2 linked regions of the Cricetulus griseus genome follow. The protein of the gene in region 1 purifies or fractionates together with the protein of each later gene. This does not show direct contact. Links are inferred from orthologs where the notes say so. Each region holds a gene or a part of one and is shown on either strand. Other genes may lie near its edges. The genes, in order: Ranbp6 and Armcx3.

What was found.
Region 2: the proteins of Ranbp6 (region 1) and Armcx3 purify together in Homo sapiens (co-immunoprecipitation; 3 studies listed by BioGRID and IntAct, counting the BioPlex papers as one, with this or other methods). This does not show direct contact. The link is inferred for Cricetulus griseus from reciprocal best matches to the Homo sapiens genes RANBP6 and ARMCX3.

The regions. Positions count from the first base shown.
Region 1 is NC_048596.1:31,600,703-31,612,273, reverse strand, and holds Ranbp6 (ran-binding protein 6), read right to left. Parts: upstream 6,347-11,571; 5' UTR 6,304-6,346; coding exon 2,986-6,303; 3' UTR 1,788-2,985; downstream 1-1,787. UniProt on the Homo sapiens protein: May function in nuclear protein import as nuclear transport receptor.
Region 2 is NC_048604.1:45,333,452-45,344,991, forward strand, and holds Armcx3 (armadillo repeat-containing X-linked protein 3), read right to left. Parts: upstream 5,756-11,540; 5' UTR 5,590-5,755; intron 5,085-5,589; exon of another isoform or gene 4,978-5,084; intron 4,607-4,977; 5' UTR 4,546-4,606; intron 4,275-4,545; exon of another isoform or gene 4,202-4,274; intron 3,904-4,201; 5' UTR 3,758-3,903; coding exon 2,618-3,757; 3' UTR 2,246-2,617; downstream 1-2,245. UniProt on the Homo sapiens protein: Regulates mitochondrial aggregation and transport in axons in living neurons. May link mitochondria to the TRAK2-kinesin motor complex via its interaction with Miro and TRAK2.

The sequences.
Region 1 (11,571 bases):
CCAATGATGTCATCAACATGCGGACTTCTGCGAGGGGAGGGGCGGAGGGAGTAGCAGAGCGCCTGCGCGCGCTGCACACACTCGGGTAGCCCATCAAGGTTGCTTTTGGGAGACCCTTACTGGTCCTAAAAAATATTTTAATATTAGTTTTCTCAAAGCATCCGCTAGGTGACCTAGGTACGAGAATGCACAAAAGTAAACCTCTCCGTTGTAAACTAGCATCTTTGCACCCGTCCTCCCTTGTGACCGCCGGTCTTTTTTTCTCATAAAACTAGCGTTTGGGAAAGATTAGAAAGGAAGTTTAAGGACTTCACAAGAGTGGAGGATTGTAGAGCTCTAGTTCTCGAAACTCCAGCTCCCAGTTAACAGTTTTTTAAAAACCGAATCCTGTGTTCTATTGAAATGTTAAAACCGATAAACACCTGGATTCTTGAGTTCGGCTAAAGAGAACGCAATCTCGCTTAAGAAAAAAAAACAAAAAAAACAAAAAAACTCCAAATATTTCTACTCTAAGCTGTACAGCTTGTCATTGGTGTGACTTTAACAATCTTGCTACATTTTTTTATTTTTAAAGTAACTAAAAAAAGTGGACTCATCATTCACATTAGTTCACGTTGCATAAAATGAGGGGGAAATTAATGAGCCCCAAAATAGTTATTACTGTTTTCTAATGCATGTGATATTCAGACTTACTTGTTTGAAACTTGGAATGATACATAAAATCGAAACTATAGAAGTGCAATTTGAACATGAAATTTATAAATGGTTGAGATCTCACCTTCAAGATTGTTTACTTCTGCATAAAGACGTTTAAAGGACTGATAAAATGTAGTGCCTTAAAACTTTTTTTGTAGGGAGTTCAGAAAGCTATATATCTTTTGTAGCAAAAATACTGAAACAAGAACATGAGTTTTTAGAGTAGTTACACTCTCCTTCACACATAACGTACTCATCTGGCATTTTTGGTTTTCTCTCTGTCAGACATACTTCAGCTCATGAGGAAAAAAGGTAAGGACCAGTTCTACTACAGCAACTGGCAAATATGTCTGGTTGGGCTTCCTTCATTTCCTTTGACAAAACCCAAGCATCTAAAAGCCTACCAAACTCAAGCAAATGCCCACTCCCTTTTAGCCACCAGACCTATTTCAAAATTCTCACACAATAGCTTCCATTTACTGACCCTTCTGCTGCTTAGCACTTTATATTCATTGTCTCCTTTCATTAAGACAACCACCACATAAACAACATATTATCCTCATCTTGCAGGTAGGGAAACAAACACTTAGAAAAATCAAAATTCAAATTTAAACTCTCTCTTACTTCAAAACTCCAAGTACCCAATTACAAATCATTTGCCAGTTTCACAAGACTATATGACCTGCAAGCAACATACTGATGAAAGATTTCTTAGGCCACACAGAGAAAGAGCTCAGTAAGTAGAAGGAACCTTAACTCCAGTTCATGAAGAGGTCAAAATGATAGTAAATGAGGTCCTTGAACTTTACAAAAAAAACACTTTATTATATGAGAAATACGTTGTTTGTATGTAATTTTAATTTATAGAAAAGTTGCCATTTAATCCCACCACCCACAGAAAACTATTAAACTTCAAGGTAGCTAGCTATTTATTTTAAATACACTTGTAACCATACTATATATCAAATTCTGAACTATCTAAAAATCTAACTTTATATCCCTGTCTACAGTAGTCTAGATAGACCTAGTAGGGAGGGAAATTTGTAAACCAAATTCTAAAGCATGAAAAAGAACACAGTAGAAGAACAACCAACAGTAGTAACACTGACACTTTATTGAGCACTTACTGGGTCTGACATATTTGCTCCATTACATACACAACACAACAGGCTCAGGAAATCACAACAGACATTCTTGTTTGTAAGTTTTGAGTGAAGTTTGTTAAGTAGAAACTTTTTTCTACTCTACAAAACACCTTCAACAGTAAAGACATTTCAGTTAATACAATTAACCCTAAATTCAGAGTTGTTTTGTAAAACAATACACTGATACATGACTAGTCTTAAAGCTCATTTTTTAAATGTTTAAAGATGAAATTAAGTTTGTTTCACTGTTTCTGTAGAATCTGTTAAGAACTGCTTCAAAACAGAAATCTATTTATTCCCTTATTCTGAATAAAGGTTTCCTTTCTTGTTTAGTGTGGGGGATAGGGGGGTATTACATATAAACACTCAGCTAAAACATGTAACAATAACGGACTCCCACAAACATTGACTATTATTTATTAAGCTCTGTTCAAGTCTATCCCATGCTTTCAGGGTTAGATGTATCAGCTCTTCCTCCTCCACACCATTTCAATTCTAGATAATTTTTTAAAGACCAATTTGGTTAAATTCTTGTACCTCTCAACCGGACACCCTGTAAATTGGAATTTAGTCATGCTCCAACCCCTTTACAGGAGTTCTACATGAAAAGGTTCATTTATATTATAGAAAAAAAAACTCCTACATCCACTGCAGTACCTTGAAACTTTTTCAGGTCTAGCATCCTTCCAGTACCATAACAAACAGAAGTATTACCAAGGAAGAGTACCAAGGAAGAGTAAGTCTGCCAATATACTCGACCCTCAATTCCAAAGATGCTTATCCTGGAAGTTTCCCTTTCTTTATGAGCTCTTTTACATCTTGTGACAGTCACAGACATCTTGGCACCAAGTATACCGTTTACCCAGCATCAAAAGTTCAGACAAATAGCAATGATTTATATACATTTACACTAAATAGGGGGAAGGTGACAGAGAACTCTTAGGACAACTGACTGGAAGCACAAGTTACAACCACAGTTTCTTTAAGAGATGACACATGCAAAATAAACAGAAGACCTTAACACTAATCCTGAAGTATGAACTGCTTAGCAGAGAGAAATGGTATCTCTCATTTGTAAGGATCCACTCACAAAACTTTGTAGTTATTTTTATGATAGCTGATATTCAAGTGATAGTAAAGTGCTTCAAGCAAAATTGAGTAATTCTTGTAAAGCTTCCTGCTGGTCTTCATCAAGTTGGGATATACATTGCAACCATAATTCTTCAGAAGTCTGTATCTGTCGAACAACGTTAGCTAGGCGTTTGGCACAGGGGTCTTCGTGGCTAATAGTCTCGTTAATTTTTCCTTCTGCAATTATACTGATGATTTTGGGAAGATTGGAATTATTGGGACCGATCACAACTGGGTGGTTACTTTCAATTAGGTCACAGAGAAAATTCAAAGTCTGAATAGCTTCTTCTTTATCTTCATGCAGCGGGAGCCATGACAGCCAGTGTGGGAGAACCTCATCTACATTCACACAATTGGGCTTGAACTTCATAATCTTTCCTATTGCTGAGATACAGTTCTCTGTAGCAATGACATTTTTTTTCGTTTTGGAATTTGCACACTTAATAACCTTTACCAACAGTGGAACAGCTTCTGAACATAAAGAACGATAATCGTCTCCACCAAACTGTGCCATAACACCCAGTCCATAAGCAGCAGCTTGCCTGACTTCGGGGTTGTTATCTCGCATATTGAGTAGCATTGGCCACCGAAAATACTCAACATATTTGAATGAGGTTGGGCTGCAGTGCTCTATGATATCATCAAATATGCACAATCCCCACTGTCGATCTGGCCATGGCCTACTTGAACAAATTAGATTCACAATTAAAGGAAGTAGCTGTTCAAACCATGGCAAAATCTTCTCCTTGTAAGTGCTAAATAATGAGTGCAAGATATCTGATACTTTGGTCAGAATATAAACATCACATTCATCTTCATCCTGAAGAGACATTTCTACCTGTTGATCATAATTCTCTTCCTGCCTTTTTACTTGCCGCAACTCTTGGTTTTTAAAGTGCCCTTCAAGCTTTGCCTTCAAAATTCCTCCCAGTTCTTCCAAGTGTTCATCATTGAGACAACCATCTCCCATCACCTCAATGGACTTTGCAAAAGAATTCATTATCTCTGAGAGTACATCTGTATCAGGTTCAGTTCCAATGGCCTTGATTAAGGGATCACATATATACTGCCACATCTGTGAAAGATACTCCGTGCCACGGATCCTTGCACATTCCAAGAGAAAGGGCATGGCTTCCGCAGCTGCCACTCGAACATTGTCGTGAAAATAAAATTTCAACAAAGGAACCATCAGCTTCACAACTTGTTCTGTATAGTCCACAAATCCTTCTCTTAACTCCTTAGCATAGTAAACCAACATCTGACAAGCAGTTGCTTTTGCTTCAAGTCCTGAGGTTTTAATTCCAAAGCTTTGCTGGTCTCCAAGATTTACAAATTGCCAGCCATCATCATCACTCATGTTCTCCACATCTTGTGTGTCTAAGAGAGCAACATCAGGTTTAGCTGAGGCAGTCTTAATAAGAGGCTCGATAACCAGTGGAAGATACTGCTGAAAGTCTTTTCCAAGAATTTTACACATTCTAGCCCACGCTGAAACCATGTAAGAAGTCTGAGGGTCATCATCTTCCATAGTATTTAAGTCCGATTGTGTCTTCAACAGTAACTGCATCACATTCGATGCATCTTGCATAAATTTCTCCTTCCCAACGGCAAGACCAACATGGCTAATGCACTCAATAGTTTTTCCTCGAAGAAGCTTGAGTTCCTTTTGAACTGCAAGCTCAACAACATGTTTGAGGGAGGGCATAAATATATCATAATATGGAACAAAGCTTTCTTCTATTGCATCTGCAACTGAGGCAATGGTTGTCACAAGCTGTTCTAAGGCCAACTTAGTTCCACTCCGAATCAGCTCTTGCAATTTAATTACCAAGATGGAATGTAGACTTTTTACCATATTTTCCAAATATAGAACTAGTAGCGATTTGGGGCAGTCTTCAATAAAGATGACAAGGGCAGAAGCCGCATGGCATTGCACACGCTGATTACCTTGATTTTCCATGGTTCGCAACAACGCCGTAATCACTATTTCATGGAACTTCTTTTGGAAACTAGGTGCAAAATCTGTGGCCATCTGTCCAAGTGTAGTGCAGGCAGCTGCCCTCACCCTTGGATGGGGATCCTGAAGAAAAAGCAAAACTGAGTTAACTGTTTCATCCAGAATTGGTTCCATTTGCTGATGGCAACCTTCTCCGATGGCCGATAAGGCCATCAGTCCAGCATGTCGACATTTCCAGTCATGGCTCTGAAGCATCTGCATGATATGCTCCTTGGTCATTGGCAAAACAACTTTTCCACCAAGTCCACAAGCCAGTCTGTCTAGTGCGCTCTCCGCAGCAACTGCATTGCTGTCGAAATCATCTTCTTCCATTTCATCGGCGTTTACCCAGTCCTCATCATCTTGTAGATCAACCATCATCGCTAATATATGAGGCACAGCCTGTGCAATAATATTCGTGTGCTTTTTCAACATCGGAGTTGCAGTTTCGGATAAGGTCACTATTACTTCCAGAGCCAGCTGGCGTTGCAGATTACTAAGCCTCGAGTCTCCGCATAACTTCAGGCTCAACTGCAGAGTATCTTCTAAATAGGGACCCAAATACTTAGGTACGGTATCTGCAATCTCGACAAGGGATTCTAGCACCGAATCATCATCCTGGTAGCAGGAATCATTCACAGCCTGTAAGATTCCAGGAAGCAAGTCCGCAAAGTCTTTGAAAAGAGCAATATTGTTTTCATTAGCAAGGACAAACGCAGCTGCAGCTCTAGCAGATAATGTCCTGATTGCTGGATGCTCTTGATCTTGAATGCACTGGTCCAACAACCTCTTGATGATATCCAAATCGTGGCGATCTTGGTTCCCAAAAATCCCAGGAAAGTGCCAGAAAACGTGAAGTGCCACTTCCCACAGAACCACATTTTTAGAGTGAATCGAATCAATGAGGAATTTCAGACCTTCTGGCCAATGGTTAGTGCCCTCCTCATCTATCAAATTCCTGGCCAGCACCGCAAAAATATCACAAAGCTTTTTCCTCATGCTAGCGTGTGTTTCCAACTTAACAGCCAGTATCAGTTCAATCTTGACATCCCTCTGCACATGAGAAGGCAGATTTGGATAGACCTCCTCAAACCCAGAGGACAAAAGCCGTCGTAACAGTGCGGCAGCCATTTGTCTCACCTCATAACCTGCTCTTCTATTTCGGACGGCGTCTAAGAGGAACGTAGTCTTACACAGCCCCGGGATATTCTCGTAGACTTCCTCCGCTTGCCTCCGCACCATACAGCTTGGATTGATCAGGTTCTTCAGAAGCTGGTAAAAGTCCTGCTTTTCCGACACGGTCGCCGGCAACCCTGCAGACCCGGCCGCCGCCATCGCGCCCTGTCAAAGCTACCGCGACCGGCAAGGAGGGAGGGAGTCTGCGGCTGGAGCAGTGACGTCAACGAGGCGACGGCGGGGATGGGCGGGGCGCGCTCCCCAGACCGACGCGGGGGTAACGCTGGAAGGGGTGGGAGTAGGGGTGGGGGTGAAGGGGGGTGAGGTGGGGGTGGGATCGGGGTTTTACCGTTATGACGGAGCCGGGAGAATACCGGGGGTATCTCGTGTTTCCCGATCCCTGTGCACCTGCAGAGGCGGGAAGGAGATAGGAGGAGAGAAACTCGCCCGAAGAGCCTACATACTGTACGATGCCCTGATTCTTATAAAAGATCTCAAATAGGCCGTCTACACGGACTTTAATTAGCCGATGCTATGGAGTAGGGGAGGCATGGAGTATAACTGCGGTCCGCTGTCCCGGGATTTCTTTTTGAGGGTTGATGAAAATGTTCTGTAATTGATAGTGAGGACGGTTCCCCAGTGCCATGCCATTTTACTAAGAAATGCTGAGTTCTATTATTTGAATTGGTGAACAGGGTATATGAGTGATACCACAATAAAGCTGTTCGCAAAATAAGCTCAATTAAAGGATAACGATTTCCTCCCCACTACCACATCCAATGAAGTAATGTGGATTATAATAGAGATGAGAAAAGAAGAACTAAGTAAGTATGGTGGAAATGATGTGGAGTAATAAACTTCTTCAATCCTGGTCTTCTATTAACTTTGTGTCTTTGTCACTCAAGATTTCCCTTACATGTGTTTCTAAACTGCAATACGACAGAGTTCAGTTATTGGAATCTTAATTACCCTTTAATAGGAAGCTGCAAAAGTTACCCTCAGAACAAATTCCCCGGGGCTAGGCGTCTTAATTTAGGCAGGTGTGTCATTTAAAACCTTAATTATAAAGTGTAACTGTCTGTGATCAGATCTTAGTGTTAGCAGTTATTATACTCATTTTTAGCCCTTATATAATTCTATGAGGTTGATAAGGATAGAAATAGTACTACCTGTAGGTGAGAAATGGAGAACCGGGGAGACTGAAGGACTTGCCCAAGATAGCAACTGAGTCTAAATTCTACCTTTCCTTAGAGTGCACCCTTTTCGCCACAGAACTCGCCCATAACCACTCTTGCTTTTGCAACATCATCAAAGACCTTCAATTATTGTTTTCTGTCTTAAACTTTGCCAAGCAGTCTGAATTTCAGTTTCGTGGAATTCTGTTGCATGTACACACAAAATGGAGAAATGATAGTTTTCACATTAACAAGATGACAGACCAAATAGATGGTCTCTTAAATTAATTTGTAATATGCAACTATTCTCTGAATAGTGTTTCTTGATAGTGGGCCATATCAAGATCACTTAGGACCAGCTTCCAAACTACTAAACTAGCATTCTGAAACCTGTAATCCCAGCATATATAATTTGAATATGCACAGTAGGTTTTCATATAAATACCCAAATTTGAGAATTATGCATCAAATCAGTTTTTGTTCTGATCCTAAGATCTTACCTGTAGTTCTTCACCTCGTACCATACTTAATGATTTTCTTACTGCTCCTAGAAAAAGTTTGGCTGCAAAAAGCTTTGCATCTGCAGTTTTAGGAAATGTTAACGAATGTGGGAGAAATGCTTTCCTTACAGCTACAACCATTAGCATACTAAGAGCTTATTAAAGCTACAGCAAGATGCAATGGCAGACCCCCTGCTGTGTTTGGAATGCAAATGACTAACAATGCCAAGGTTGGTGCAGTGATATTATGTTGGGAGTATGAATAACTTAGTGCAAAGTGAAAAATGGTTGAAATGCTGTTAAGACTGTTCAGTCATACATTTATTCCATCAGAAAATATTCACCAGAGCTATAGCAAGCATAGTGCTGGACACCAAAAATTAAATACAAGAAAAGCTAGGGAAATGCCTCAGTTGATAAAGTTCCTGCTGTGTAAACATGACGAGTACTTGAGTTTGGATCTCAATACCCATGGAAAACCCCACTGCACATGTATACCCCAGCACAGGGCAGGAAGAGACAGGAAGATCTCTAGAGCTCAGTGTCAGCCTACACAAAGTTTGGTCAGAGGCTCTTTCTTAATAACATGAGGTGATTTAGGAAGACACCGGAAGTTGACCTCTGACTTCCACAATGTGCACACACCCACATAAGCCCATCATACAGTACACACACAAAGAGCAACTTCACGAAGACGATTATGGGACATAGTAGATGTCATATAAGGAATTAGTGTGCTAATAATTCTGTCCATGGCACTAAGGAACCGCCTAACACACTGAGGTTTAGAGCAAATCAACTGGGAGTCTGCCCCGAAGAACATCCCCTCACCAATTATTTGGTGGGCCTGAATTACAATTTGTGCAGGAAAAGAGAGGGGAAACTTGATTATTCCTATTAGTCCATGTTCAGAGTGGGTGACATGAATCTCAGATGGAGGTGACGTCCGAACTGGCTTCTGAACTCTTAGTTAACCATTTGGGGAGAGAGAGAGAGAGAGAGAGAGAGAGAGAGAGAGAGAGAGAGAGAGAGAGAGAGAGAGAGAGACAGACAGAGACAGAGAGAGAGACAGAGAGAGACAGAGAGAGACAGAGACAGAGACAGAGACAGAGAGAGACAGGAGAGAGAGGGAGAGAGAGAGAGAGAGATAGGAGAGAGAGACAGATACAGAGAGAGGAGAGAGAGAGAGGAGAGAGAGACAGAGAGAGACAGAGATAGAGACAGAGAGAGAGAGAGAGAGAACAAGTGAGAACAACTTGCTGAAATACAGAGGCCTTGAAGCAAACTGTGAGAACTCTCTGCCCATGTTTCAGAGTCAAGCATTAGGTGTGGGGCCTGAGAGGGCCGGGTCAGCAAGGAGGAAGACAGGGAGATAAGTCGAGACCAGATGATGAAGGGTATCATAGTCCATGCTAAGAAACGTGGGTTCTTTCCCTAAAGGTGACAAGATTTTAATCAAGTGCTATGAATCAAGTTTTAGAGCAATTTGCATGAACAGGAAAACGGATGCATAAAGAATAGAGACATTATGTTGGTCAATTACCTAGTTTGGTTAACCAGAAAGTCTAAATTCAGTAGCTGAATTTGATGGCGGGAAAGAAGGCAAAGACCAGAGAGGTAACAAAGCAGTGCACAGTATACGAGAAGGAGACTAAAACATCTTCCCAAGAGTTTCCCTGGTCATCTGGTTTGAGGTGCTGTTATTTGCCAGTCTATTTATTTCTAAAATAATAAAAATCAGTGTTTATATATATTTAAAAAAAAACACTGCTATTTGGGAGGAAAAAGCTTTTCCTAAAAAGGTGAATCTTGGGGGGTCTATTTTGTTCTCTCACTGCTTCCCACATGATAAAACAACTTGTAATTTCAACAGTAGGAGCAAAATTGAACCTGTTTTAGGGCAATCGTTTATGACTTCTTGGATAAATTACCTTGTAGTTAATTTTTTATTGTTATTGTCCTTCTCTTTCCCCATATGAGAAGTGTACATAATACCCTAAATTGGCTTGCCAATTTGGTTACAATTGAACAATTTTAAATTCTGTAATTAACTCTAGCTTTGTTGTGTTGGTGGAGAGGGCATCTCAAGATCATTTCCCCAGAGTAACCCAACACCAGACAATTAGGGTGTTTATTGCCAAGTCAGGGAAAGGTCAGGATAAGTTACTAATTTCACTGAAGGACTTAGAAATTTAGAGTAAAATGAAAGGGATAGAATTAAGTTGATCATGCATGATATTTTTTTTCAAGAATAATCCAGAACAAATAAGAAAAATACAGAAAACAAACCAAAACAAAATGTCATGAAAATGCCATGAACACTTTAAATGGCCTAAAATGAGACAACCTGAATATAAAAGAGAAAAATGCCTACAATAGATTAAAAGAGAATCAAAATTATGAACAAATGTGACAAATTTCTAATATCAAAACTTGCTAAGCCACTGATCATCTTTAGATTCCTAAGCCAGCAACTCTGAAAATGGACTAAGAGCAGTAATCAAGTTTCCCCTGTCTTTTCCTGCACAAATTGTAATTTAAATCAACCAAATAGTTGGTGAGGGAATGTTTCTCTGTACAGACTCCACCTAATCAATGCAAAAAGAATGCCTCAGTCAGAGAACTATTCTGCAACAGCACTGAATGAAACAATGGATCCAGGTAATCCTCAAGAGGCATTAGACCATTAGATGAAGCCTACTTGGGAGCTTTTAAATAGGGAGTTTAGGCCGAAGCCAATGGAAATCATTGTTTAAACTTTCTGTTTAAACTGAAAGTGCCATTTGCCAGTTGTCTTAAGCTCATATCCATCTATATTTGTATAATTTGTTCTCTGATGCTAAGGTTAGGTTTGTCTAACAAGTGTCTCCACTCAGAGCTGGATCTCTGTTGGCTTCTGCCAACAAGAACCTCAAGAGACTGGACAATGTCAAAAGAGGCAGGGTCAGGAAAGGGATTGTTTCTTGTTCTTTCTGTTTTTCTCTGGGTTGCCTCAACAATAGCCCTTCTTTCTGGAAGCAGCAGCCTCTTACAGCCCTTAAACACACACACACACACACACACACACACACACACACACACACACACACACACACACACACACACACACACACACCTCTCACCTCTGAGGGAATAATTGATAGTTTATTCAGCAGCCCAGAGTAACTGTGGCTTGGGAATACAGGTTCAGGTTACTCCAAATTCCATGTACCGATATTGCAGTAGTTTCATTGAGTTTTTATAGTAACAGAACAAAGAAAATCAGAAATGAAAGCATTTTTCAAATACACCAGTGCTACCATCAAGTTGGTGGGTTACCACAAAGTGGGGAAATCTCTGCTGTAGGCCACCCATCCTCACATTGGTTTTGACACTGATCACCTGTCCAGGAGGAAATTCAAGGGCACAAGGATCCTTGCTCCCCTTATTTCACTCCACTCATTGACTTATGCCCCATCGTGGGTTTCATTAAATCAAGCACTCTAATGCTGTCTGGCCACTATTAATCTCAAAACTCTAGTTAACTTCATATATTGCACTGGTATGTGGTCAGAGATTTCCTATACCAGAGCCTTTTTCTACCTTAAAAACCACCTTTTTATGGGTCTCTGTGAGTTCCAGGACAGGCTCCAAAGCTACACAGAAAAACCTTGTCTCAAAAAACCAAAGCCAAGCCAGGCGTTGAGGCGTTGGTGGCGCATGCCTTTAATCCCAGCACTTGGGGGGCAGAGGCAGGCTGATCTCTGTGAGCT
Region 2 (11,540 bases), on another chromosome or scaffold:
AGGGAAAGGAACAAGGAGTAACAGGGAGAAAAGCAGCAGATGATGCCAGGCAGGAGTGTGCCTGCTACACTGGGCCTTCCCATGACTTCATTTCATTTCTTTTGCAGCCTGGGAATAAACAAGTCACTCAGTGTCTCAAGCTCAGCATGGCTTGATCTGAGTGCCCAAGTATGCGTTCATTCTAGAACTGATTTAAGGAACAACTTTCTGTTCATTGCCTCTGTCTTCTCAAGCATTTCGAAGCAGTTTTTTTTTTTTTTAATGAGAAAATATAAAACAGACTGACTAAATTAGGTGCTTCTCTCCCCAGCTGCTAGTTTCTTATCTAGCTGCTTTAGGCAGTCTCCACAGACTACAGCCAGGCCCCTGTCCTCAGTTCCATCTACCTTCTAACAGCTCTCTCCAATTCTCATTTGCAGCCTAGACATCTTCACTGAAAGCAGGAGTAATTCATTCAAATGACAATGTGGTATCTGAATATCACACAAACACTTCAAATTTCATTTATTTGAAATAGATCTGCTCCTGCCCCGTCATAACAATCCTTTTTATCTTACTTAGCAGGGGCAAGAAATTTTTTTTCACTTCATTTCCTATCATCTCATCCTTTAACGTGTTAGCAAATGAGTTCCTATACATGAATGACTTAAGGTTACCAGATCCAACAACTTGAAGCCAACCAGTCCCTGGTCCTACTACAGACATTAGAGTACATATGTGAAAACCTGGCATTCAACCTAAATCATAACTAGACAGAAGACAGCAGCATTTCCTGGTCACAGAGAAAGCAGAATTACATCCTCACACCAATGAGGAAAATGTCGTGAAGGCAGGAGAGATCATGATTGAGGTGATACTTTTAGTCCTGGAACACTTGAGAAATTATCACAGGTTCCTTGCAGGAATGACAGAACTCTACACAGCAATCACTTAATAAATGTTAACCTTTATTATTATTATTTATTAAATGACACTGAAACATGGAAGAATGCCCCAGCAAAACAAAAGGTAACCAAAACCCATCAATACTACATCTGTGTACTTAAAGGTACTCACATTTCTAATTGCTGCTATATGCAAGAATAGTGAAGCTACTTTGCATAAATTCTCTTATTCGAATCTCACTGCCAGCCTTATAGTCACCATCATCTCTCATTCTGAAGTGGAAGCGTTAGACCACCTCCTTTGGGGCCTAAATATTTCCCACTCAGCCAGTACATGTTCAAATTAATCACCTGCTGCATTCCCTGTACTTTTCTTTTTCCAACCCTTTCTTAAAATCAATATTAATTTTTGATAAATAAGAAAACATAGATGAATAATAAGTACAAAAAGTAAGTATCGCTCATTATCTTTCATCCAAATATAACTCTTAGTACTACTGGGTATATATAATTCCATAGATTTTAGTGTCTTTAAACATGATTTAACACACACCCCCCCCCCGCAATATGTAGCCATACTCTGAATACTGCTCTTTAACTTCCCTTGCTCAGTTACCAATGTATGATGAAAATCTTTTTCTAGCAATACCGAGTTCCATCAGCACATTTGCCACACAGCATGGACATTCTTTAATCTACTAAGTCAATTCAGTGTGTTGAACACCGAAGTTATTCCCAAGGTTACTACCTCAAGACAGTGCTGACAGGAACAGCCTTGCACATACAGTCTTTGGCCAGTTATTCAGTTATCTCCTTAGGATAAAAGGTTTCCATATTTTAAGGCTTAATGATATGTATTGTCAAATGCCCACCACCAGAGTTAGAAAGGAGCCATTATGCTATACCATTCTTTATGACACAGTGTGGGAGGACTTTTATATTGACCCCAACTCTTTCCTAGTTAAAAATACATTCAACAAGCCTTCTGCAATGGGCTTCATACGGTTTTACAGATTTAACCCTACTCTCCACACTCTCCACTCTAAGAAGGCTGTTTTGACTATCATAAGGGTTCCTAAATTAATGCCTTTCTCACATCATCTACCCTCAAGTCTGGTCTCATGGAATGCACTGACTTCCCTACTCCAATAAGGACTCCCTTTCAATGGCTCTCTCCTCCCTGAAGTTTTTAACTGACTCCTGTAGCCAGCCACCAAAGCCTTTGCCTCCTCCATGCTCTGAAGGCACACATCTGACAGAATGCATGCTCCAAATAATCTTAGGGTTTGGTTTTTGGTTTTTGTTGTCGTTGTTTGTATGTTTCTTATCTCTACAACTAGATTATAAACCAAAGGACAGGATAGTTTCTGCTTCTGTTGCTTCTTTCCAGCATTAACATAAATCTTTATTGATGATGCACAAATAAAATGGATGCAAATGACCAAAAAGGATGAATTGGTTCACTGTCACTTATTCGGAGGAAAACAGTAAAAATATTTCAATCCAGGCAGCAAGATAAAAAGCAACAAACATATTTTCAGGAAAAGTAGTGATAGTCATTCATCCAACTTAAACCTGAAGACAAACTCGGTTAAATATATCAGTATCAATGATACAGTACGATGCTCATTATTCAAAATTGGCAGCTGAAAGGATTCCTTTGCCATATAAACAAGGTGGAGAAAAGGAATAGTTTACAAGGTGCGTTGCTGCTCTACTACAAAGCCACCGAGTTATTCCTGGCTTTTTGGGAACATCCGCTCAGTAAGTTTGGCTGCGAATTTCCCAACTTTTACTTTCACTAGAAAATCATGGTGGCTTTCTATTCCCAGAACCTTATCAGCACACACTTGAAATTCTTTTAAAAAGAAAAAAAGTGAGCCCCCACTAAAGTGATTCTGAGCGGGCTCATTTTCTTCCCATTTGAAATTGTCATTGATGTTCTCAAGAACTATCATAAGTTTAAGAATAACCTCTTTGTTCTCCTTCTTATTAAAGAGGGAGCCCAGTGCAGATGGCACCTGAGCCCTGAGAAGTTCTCTAGTCATGGCTGGGTTTTCAGCCAGATTCAAAAGGAGTTTCAAAACCTGAAGTTTGGTTTCTTCATTTCCTGCTAAAAATAAGCGGAAAAAGTCTGAAATGGAATTAGCAAGTATGTGCTGATACTCATTAGTAACAGTCATATTCGTAAGCAATCTGAGGCCAGCCAGCTGCACAGATGAGTTCAATCGAGAAGTGATTGTGTCATCACACACTTGATTCATGTATATCTTAAGCCTGCGCTGATTTTCAGCATTCACACTCAGGTTATTTAGGACAATTAAAGCCTTTTCCTTAACAATGGGATCCCGAGTATTGAGAATCTTTGCCACAATTGGGAGACCACCCAAATCACGAATAATATCTCTGTTAAACGCATAAGCAGCATTATTACCTAAAGCGATTAAAGCTGCTTCAAGAATATAAGGCTTTTCAGACATCTCAACCAAACAAAGTACTTTCTGTAACTCTTGAGGGGACAAAACAGTATCATCTGAATTAGGAGAAGCCCTTTTCTGGACAGCTCTCCGAGCCCTCGTAGCCCTGGCTCTGGCCCTGGCTCTAGCTCTGGTCCCTGCTTCAGTGCCAATCCGAGCCCAAGGTGGGTACCAAACTATACTCTTGCTATCATTACTGTCATCATCATCGTCAGACCAGTCATTATACCTGGCCCCAGAACAGTCCCCAGCATCATCCACATCAGCAGAGCCACCCTCAGCCATTTTCTCCTTGCTCTGCCTTCTTCCTCGGGCCAATCTGTAAATGCAATAGCAGGCTCCAGCCCCAATCACCAGGCCTGCAGTCACCCAGCCTACTTTCCTGGCGTAGCCCATGCAATCGTCCCTGACGACAGCAGGGACAAAGAAATAGAGTAGTCACTCAAAATAGGGGAAGAGGGCTTCGGGCCTAAGTGCAGGCCTGTGGAGAATGGTCTTCTTCAGTCACTTCAAGGCCAGTGTAACTGGTTCTGGAGACAAACCTAGAAATGGAAGAAGAAAAGAGGGTTCAGCTTTCTCTTCTCTGCACTGCCCCATGCAGACAATCACACCGAGGGGCCAGAAGGTAGTAATTGAATTCTGCATAGGGAATACATATTGTTGACAAAAACCTCGATCTCCCTCATTTCACTCTCTCCTTGAATGCCTCTCCTCCCTTCCCCCCACCCCCAGTCACTCTTGCCTCTAAGCATAAAGTCAACGGCATCCGCAATTTTTTCTGTGCTCTCATCCGTCACAGGCTCCTGTGATACCCTATGGGATAGGCACCCATACACTAACCTCCTGGAAACAAGCAGTTTGCCCCCTTCTTCCTTTCCTGTGAGGTATTGCCACGCCCAACAATCTTTCTGATCTGCAGAGATACCAGAAACAGTGAAAAAAAAAAACGAGGGCTTGTTGCATGGGCTGTATATTTTATGCTTTCCTAATTTACCATTCAGGTTGTCAGATTTTTGTTAAACCTCGCTGTGCCATCCATCCAAAACACGCACAGTTGAGCCCCCCCTCCCTAGTCTCAAATGGATGGATGTAAGGAAACAAAGTAGGATTAAGTGAGCCTGGCCAAACCCAGTCTGATTTCTAACCCCTCCCCCATTCCAGACTGCCCCCACGCCCACACCGACCTCTACTGATCCGGGGAAAGTTCCTCCCTTGCTTCAAGAGGTGCCACCTGCTACAGCAGACCTGCAGGATGACAGATCGAAAACATGGACACTAAGTGCTGTTGAGAGAGAAGGATTATGAACAAACTATCTGATAGGTTTTCCTGCTGTCATCCCGCCCCCCGCACCCACCCCTGCGATCACATTCACTCACACACACATACACACAGAGAGAGAGAGAGAGAGAGAGAGAGAGAGAGAGAGAGAGAGAGAGAGAGAGAGAGAGAGAGAAAGAGAGAAAGAGAGAAAGAGAGAGAGAGAGCGCACGCCATTTCTCCACAGTTCGGAGAGTGTGAGAAACACATTTAGACTCAAATCTAAACGTAGATTACCTTTTCTGGTTTTACCCCTTTTTTTACCCCCGCCGCTACTAGGGTCCCCAGATGGTCTTACCCTCAAATCGACCTTCACCGATCTGGTTAATTTCCTTCCTCTTCTCTTGCCTGGCGTGGTACCACAACCTACGGAAAGACTGGCCACCCAGGAGAGGCTTGGACCCACTAGACACAGAGCCATGGTAAGGAAGACACGGCCACAGGCAGAAAGACGGGAAACAGCCGCTACAGAGTGCTTGGTGGACGGACCAGTCCCCAGAGAACGAAACTCTTTCCAAATTCGGAGGCCTGGTTGTTAAAGGTTTCCCGCCCGATACCCGGCTCGGGGTTCGGCTGACACATCACATTGCACCCCACTACGCCGGACCCTATGTCCAGTTTTTCCCCGCCGGCACAGTCCTGGTGGACCAGGGGCCAACACCCAGGCCACAGCTCCCTTTCCGGATTGCGGGCCTCAGCTCGCAGCAGATTCCCATCTCCTGATTTCTGAGCGCCTGCTCTAACACCCCCTACTCACTGTTTTGCAGCATCGAAATGGGCTGCGGGCGGGACACATATCTTGGGAAGAAGAGGCAAGTGGGAGAGACGACGGCGGCGCCCCCGGACCTGCGACGGCCTCCGCCCTCCACCCTCCACCACCCGCACTTTATGAAATATCCCAAGCACTGACCTGCAGGGATCCGGGACAATTTCTTTTCCGCCTCCTTCTTGCCTCGGCTACAGGCTCGCCCGCCCTCAGGGTGATAAGGAGCTGGTACTCAGACGGGAACAACGACCAGGACAAGAAGGACTTCTGCACACGTCAGCTCTTGGTCACGTGAGAGCGACGTCATCCACCAACTCGGATCCCCACTTTCCCCTCCCACCAGCAGTGCGGCAGAAGAGGACCCGCCCCCCCTTCATTCCCTCCCCCATACCAGGCCTTGTTACTCTTTCTTCTTTGCGGCTAATCCCATTTTCCTCTAGTTGTGTTTCCCTTCCTCCAATTACCAAAACAGGACAGCATCCTCCCCTGGGGCTACTGGCCACTTGTACTTTTTTTTAATTGACTCTTCCTTCCCTAGACTCCTGGGACAGCAGCTTCTCCCTCTACCTCCCCTCCTCCCGGCTATGAATCTCTACCATTTCCTCTGAAATGTAGTCCTAGACCTGAAATGAATAAGCAACCAGAAAAGGAAACCTGGAATGAGAGTGTATCTTTCACTTTCTTCATACTTTTTTGGTTATTTTCACCTTGGCTTTTCGCCTGTTCACAGCCTGCATTCTATTTATGAGGGAAAAAATACAAAAAAGTATTTCCATAGGGGAAAACTAAGAGTAGAGTTAGGAGATCAATGCTGGGTGGTGGCCTCTAAAAGTCCCACATTTCTCAATTAGTGGAAAGTGTTACCCGCTTTACTCAAAGGAATTTTAATGTCTTCTGGGGCCTATCACATAACACAGCTGAATGAACATACACAACTTGAATGAACTAATCAGCCTGCCTGAGAATATGTAAATCTTCTGACTAAGCAACAGGCTTTGAAGGTCACAAGTTAACCAGGAGGAGGCTTGGGTTCTCCAGAGTCAGGAACAGAAAAGATTGAGGAGAAATCAAGTCTGTTAGATAAAAACGGACACACTGATATGCAAGTGATATTCAAAGAACATTGTGAAATATGCTGGGATACAAACACAGAACGTCTGCAGATGAAATAGTATTACACGAACACAAAGAGCAAGGCAAACTTGACTGAACTTGGCATCTAGCAATTAGTATGAAGCCATTGCACTGATTAGCTTGATAAACACAAGAATTCTCTTGCAATTTTAACTTTCAGAGACAGAAAAGGGAACAAAGTAATTACACTCTCTCATTGTTTTAGTTAACCAGGTTTGGTTTCAGTTGCTGGCTGCCCAACAAGGCTAACTTAATACATAGTACAAAAACAAATAGCAGAATACATAGTGTAATGTAGCATTCCTAAACATGAGCTCTTCTGTGAGAAATTCCCTAGCAGTTTAGATACAAGTTTGGTATCTGGATAGAAATTTCCAAATCCACAGGAAACATAGGAGTAAATCTAGAGTACAAAGAGTTTAGGAAAATTTTTATCACTGTAGCTTCTAGAAAGCAGAACTGAGACTCGATTTTGAATTTAGTAAATGGAGCCAAATCAACTGTATGGCTCTGTATTTAGAGAAAGATCAAGTGCAACAAAGAGACTTATTCACACACAAAAAGGGCATCAGATGAAAATGTTAATAGTTCCCATCAAGCACTGTTTAGAAGAGAGGAAGTTCTGGCTAAGGTAAAGGGGACATTTCATCCTTGGCAAAACCAACTCCATGATGTGTAAGAATACCTCAAACTTCCTAGGCTAAAAGTCACTCCTTAAGATGAATGAATGCCCTCACTCTGATTCTAGGTTCATCAAGCAAACTGCAAGAGAGCATGGACAGGTAAGACAGGCAGAAACCTCTTTTGCCCCCTGGCACTTGTACTTCTCAAGGTAAACTACTCAGTTGTTAGTCCAGTTGAAGTATAACTTTCATTGTAGCCCATTTAAGAGGAGGAGAAGACAGAGACTGGTGAGTGTAACATTCAGATCTTGGTTTACATGTGCATCTTTGAATGAGAGTCTGTCACTCGCAGAAGCATCTGCTCTCTGTTTACAGACAAAAGCTGGGGTAGATGGTGCAACACTCAAGACAACACCCTGAACTCTATATGCAACCCTATGGAATCCTGTCAGGGAAGCCAGGTGGCTTTGGTTCCAAGGGCAACCTTATGCATTGTCGTTTCATATTGTATCTTTCTAATGATCAGGTAATGTAGAAATTATGACTCAAGCATGTGGAGGTAGACAGGTTCCTAGAATCTCAGTGACAGCTAAACAAAGGCTCACTGTGCAAAATAATTAAAGGATGATATACACTAGGACTGGAAATATGGAGTAAGTGTCCAATAACACTCATTGCTCTTGCAGAGGACCCAAGTTCGGTTCCTAGCACTCCCATCGTTGGGGTGGCTCACAGTTGACTATAACTTCATTTCGGAGGATCTGACCCCTTGTCTCTTACCTTCAGTGCATGTGGTGCCATACAGACAAACAGGAACACTCACATCACATAAATAAAAAGTAAAGTCAATAATTTCAAAATAAATCATCATTTTAAACAATTCACACTTCATACTAAAGAAAGTGAGTGAATGTATTTCACATTTAACATACTCTGTATTTCCCTAGCAAAAAGATGGACACTGTGGCCAAAACACTCCAACCAGAAGCTCTCCTGTTAAAATTTTAATCTTGAGCAAGGAGATAACAACCTGAAACCAGGTAAACTTAGGTGAAACGATCATCTATCAGTTTCTCCTACCTAGATCCCTGACCTTGCTCCTTAGCATTTGTTCTCTGTGTTAACCAGACTTGGATAATCTGCTTGCAATGAGACAACCTTAACTAAGCTACAGTACTACATCAAGTAACACAGTATCCAAAGCTTTTCAAATGCCAACCTTCTCTTTTGTTTCCCTCCATAGACCATAGTGTTACCAACTGCTGATCCTTTTTTATTTTCATGTAATATGTGTGGCCATCAAAAGGTTTCCTTGGGGAGTGGTTTTACAAACTTTTGTTGTTTGTTCTAATAGGCTCTGAAAACATTAAACAGACTTGCCTGGGTACTTAAGCATTTTCCCTTCTCACATTTAAGATGGTGTATCAGATGTCTACAAGGTCCTTTAAAAAGTATTTGTGTGTGCATATAATGGAGAACAAAGTGGTTCTAAATCATAGCCCCTGTGCTTGTTGGTAAGAATTATGAACTAAAGCGACAGAGATGTAAACTAACTGAAAAGGTTCATGCTCCTGGGGTTTAAGAAGTTTTAGATAGGGAGTGGATTCAAACTAGAAGGTCCTGATGAACTGAGAGATTGGTGGTTTCTTCTGTGTTTTTATGCTGAAATGACTGGATGACATAGCAAAAGAGAGAGAGATTTTTGTAGCAATGAAGAGAAGTAGGCGTGAAGCTTTCGTCCCTGAAACTTGACAAAATGTGAAAATGAGTTCACATTGCAGAACCGATCACCTGCTTTTCTTAGTTCTTCCTCATGTTTATATTCAAATGAACAGAGGTCTCTTGTGTAAGTTCATGGTAGGCAAGCACTAAAAGTACAGTTTAATCTGAGCATTTTATTCCTAAATTTTCAGAGACAGGATTTACTTAGCTAAGAAAATCATAGAAAGACAGCAAAAAAAAAAGCACGGTAGCAAAACAAATGAAACAGAGAGCCAGAGGAAATGGGACCTGATATTTTAAATGAGTCGAGTTGTTAGGAAGACCAGAGAGTGATGATATGTTTGTTCCGGAGTTCTTATATTTGCCAACAAGGCATGGATTCCCTGCCTCACCTCCTGCAAGGGCCTCCTCCACACAGGCCATGCACAGGGAAGGCCTCTGGCAGGCGAGTCAAATTTCAATATGCTAAGAAAGAAGCAGCCTGGGGGTCTATATTTAGAGTATGACTCCCAGCAGTGAACAGGTGGCGCCTGGGGACTCACTCTTGCATATTTTGTCCCTGAGTTCTGAGCGGTTTGTGAGGATGGTGCAGTAAAGTTATTAGGGAAGACAGGGGGTGAAAAAGGCCTATTTCTCCTGGGGACAACTTGGGATACTGTATTTTGGTCTTCTACCTATGAGAGGGAAAAGAAATTGATGTCACCAGTGTTTTTACAATCTACAGTTATCCACAGACTCTTTATCCTCATTGTCACTGGAAATGAAGACTTCATGCTGAAGATTCATCATTGATATGGTGATATAGTGCATGAAGGGCAGACCTGAGGAGGTCTCACTAGTCTTATAATGGTATGAAATCTCCACCTGTCAAGTATTAACTGCCATCTATGGGATAGCAGAGAGTGCCCTAATTTCAGGGTGGTTCATGGTTTTGCATCATGAAACTTCAGTACAAAATTGAAATCCCTTTGAATGAAAAGCAGGTAGTCTGTGATGCTACTAATTTGTAAAGTTTATCTGAAACCTAAGTTGGCGTCTGCATAAAATCTATCTTTTGGGTGACACTGAGAGTCATTGTTGAACCTTGTACAAGATCTCAGTCAACTGACACCTGTGAATTCACTCAGGATAAAAAAAGGGGGGCAAATAATGGCTCACACATCTAAAATGGTCAAAACTTCAGCATTGACCTCACTACTAATCCATTTACGTTTCATCGATCCTATTGAAAGCATGCTTTTGTTTGTTTGTTTGTTTGTAAGGATATGTTTTAAAACCACCAGATGCTGTTCTAAACCTGGTATTAGGAAGAAAATATTTTCGATGTTGTATTAATTAACTTTGTCAAATCAATGAGATCTCGCTCTTAACTGGAAAAAATCTTAATTTCTTTTTTGCATACAATTTAAAAGATTGGAATTTGTTTACCTATCCAAGTGGAAATAGCACCATTTTGTCTTATGATTACAAAATATAGGAGAAATGAAATAAAGCATAAATGGATCAAAAGTGTTAATACAATTTCCGTTCACATCTGGGATTCCTTTGCTGCTCCCTCTCCCCAACTGTGATATAGAGACTGAAAATAGAGAGGGATAGAAATTAAAGAAAGGAGTTTGAAAACCAACGAAAGGAGCAGGCAGTTCCCCCAAGAATAAAGTGTGAGTGCACAGTAATTCGAGAAAGTCAAACTCAAACAAGACAAACTTCTGTTTGCTGGTATTGTCATAGAGAAAAAGACTAACAGGGCCTCAAGTATTGGGGGAGGCACGGAGCCTACTGGCGCCTGCCGCACTGCTTGTGGGAGTGGAAATTGGGGGCTAGAGCTCACTGGTGACGTGGCTGTCACGTGACCGAGAGCCGCCTAGAGCCGAAGTCCTGTTAGTCGCCTTCGACTGGGTACCAACCCCCTATTACTCTGCAGGCGCGTGAAGGAGAAGGAAACTCGCTGGGACCGTACAGGTCGGTAGAAGCTGCTTGGAAGGTGATGGGGGTGGGAGAGGTCCAAGAGCATCGCGCATTCAAGTTCCGCAGAGAGGAGCTATGTCCCTTTCTCACCTACTTTTAAAATACCTATCCCCGACCCGCATCCCACCCTCGGTTCTTTTAATAGGGAGAAGTGGCGGGCTCTAGTTGGGGTGAGTGGGATGAACTGCGGTTGCACAAAATCCAAGCAAAGAAAGGATCCACAATCCGGTCACCGTGTCCTGGGTGCTTGCTGGTCAGTCCACCAAGCTCTCCATCCCCCCCCACCCCTGGTCCCCTGTCCGTTTGCAGGTCTTTAGGTCTCAGCTCGAGCCTTGACTAGAGAGGGAGAAAAACGCTTTGATTGGAACCTTGCTGCAGGTTTGAAGGTGGGATTCATCCCGAACCTAAGGAGGGGGTGGAAAAAGAGGGGGGCTGGGATCGCTGCGGGCCAGGTCCTAGTCGCCCTCTCCTGGCCCCTTCTCTCTGCACACCCCCTCCCATTTCGGTGCAGGGAAAGGGGTGTGGCGGCCTTTGCTGGGGAAATGGCGGACGGGGAGGGGGCGGGGAGGTCCTCGTTAGCAAAGTCGGGAGAGTGTGAGAAATTATTTTTACTCAAAAATCCCAAATTCAGAAAAGCACCTATGGGTG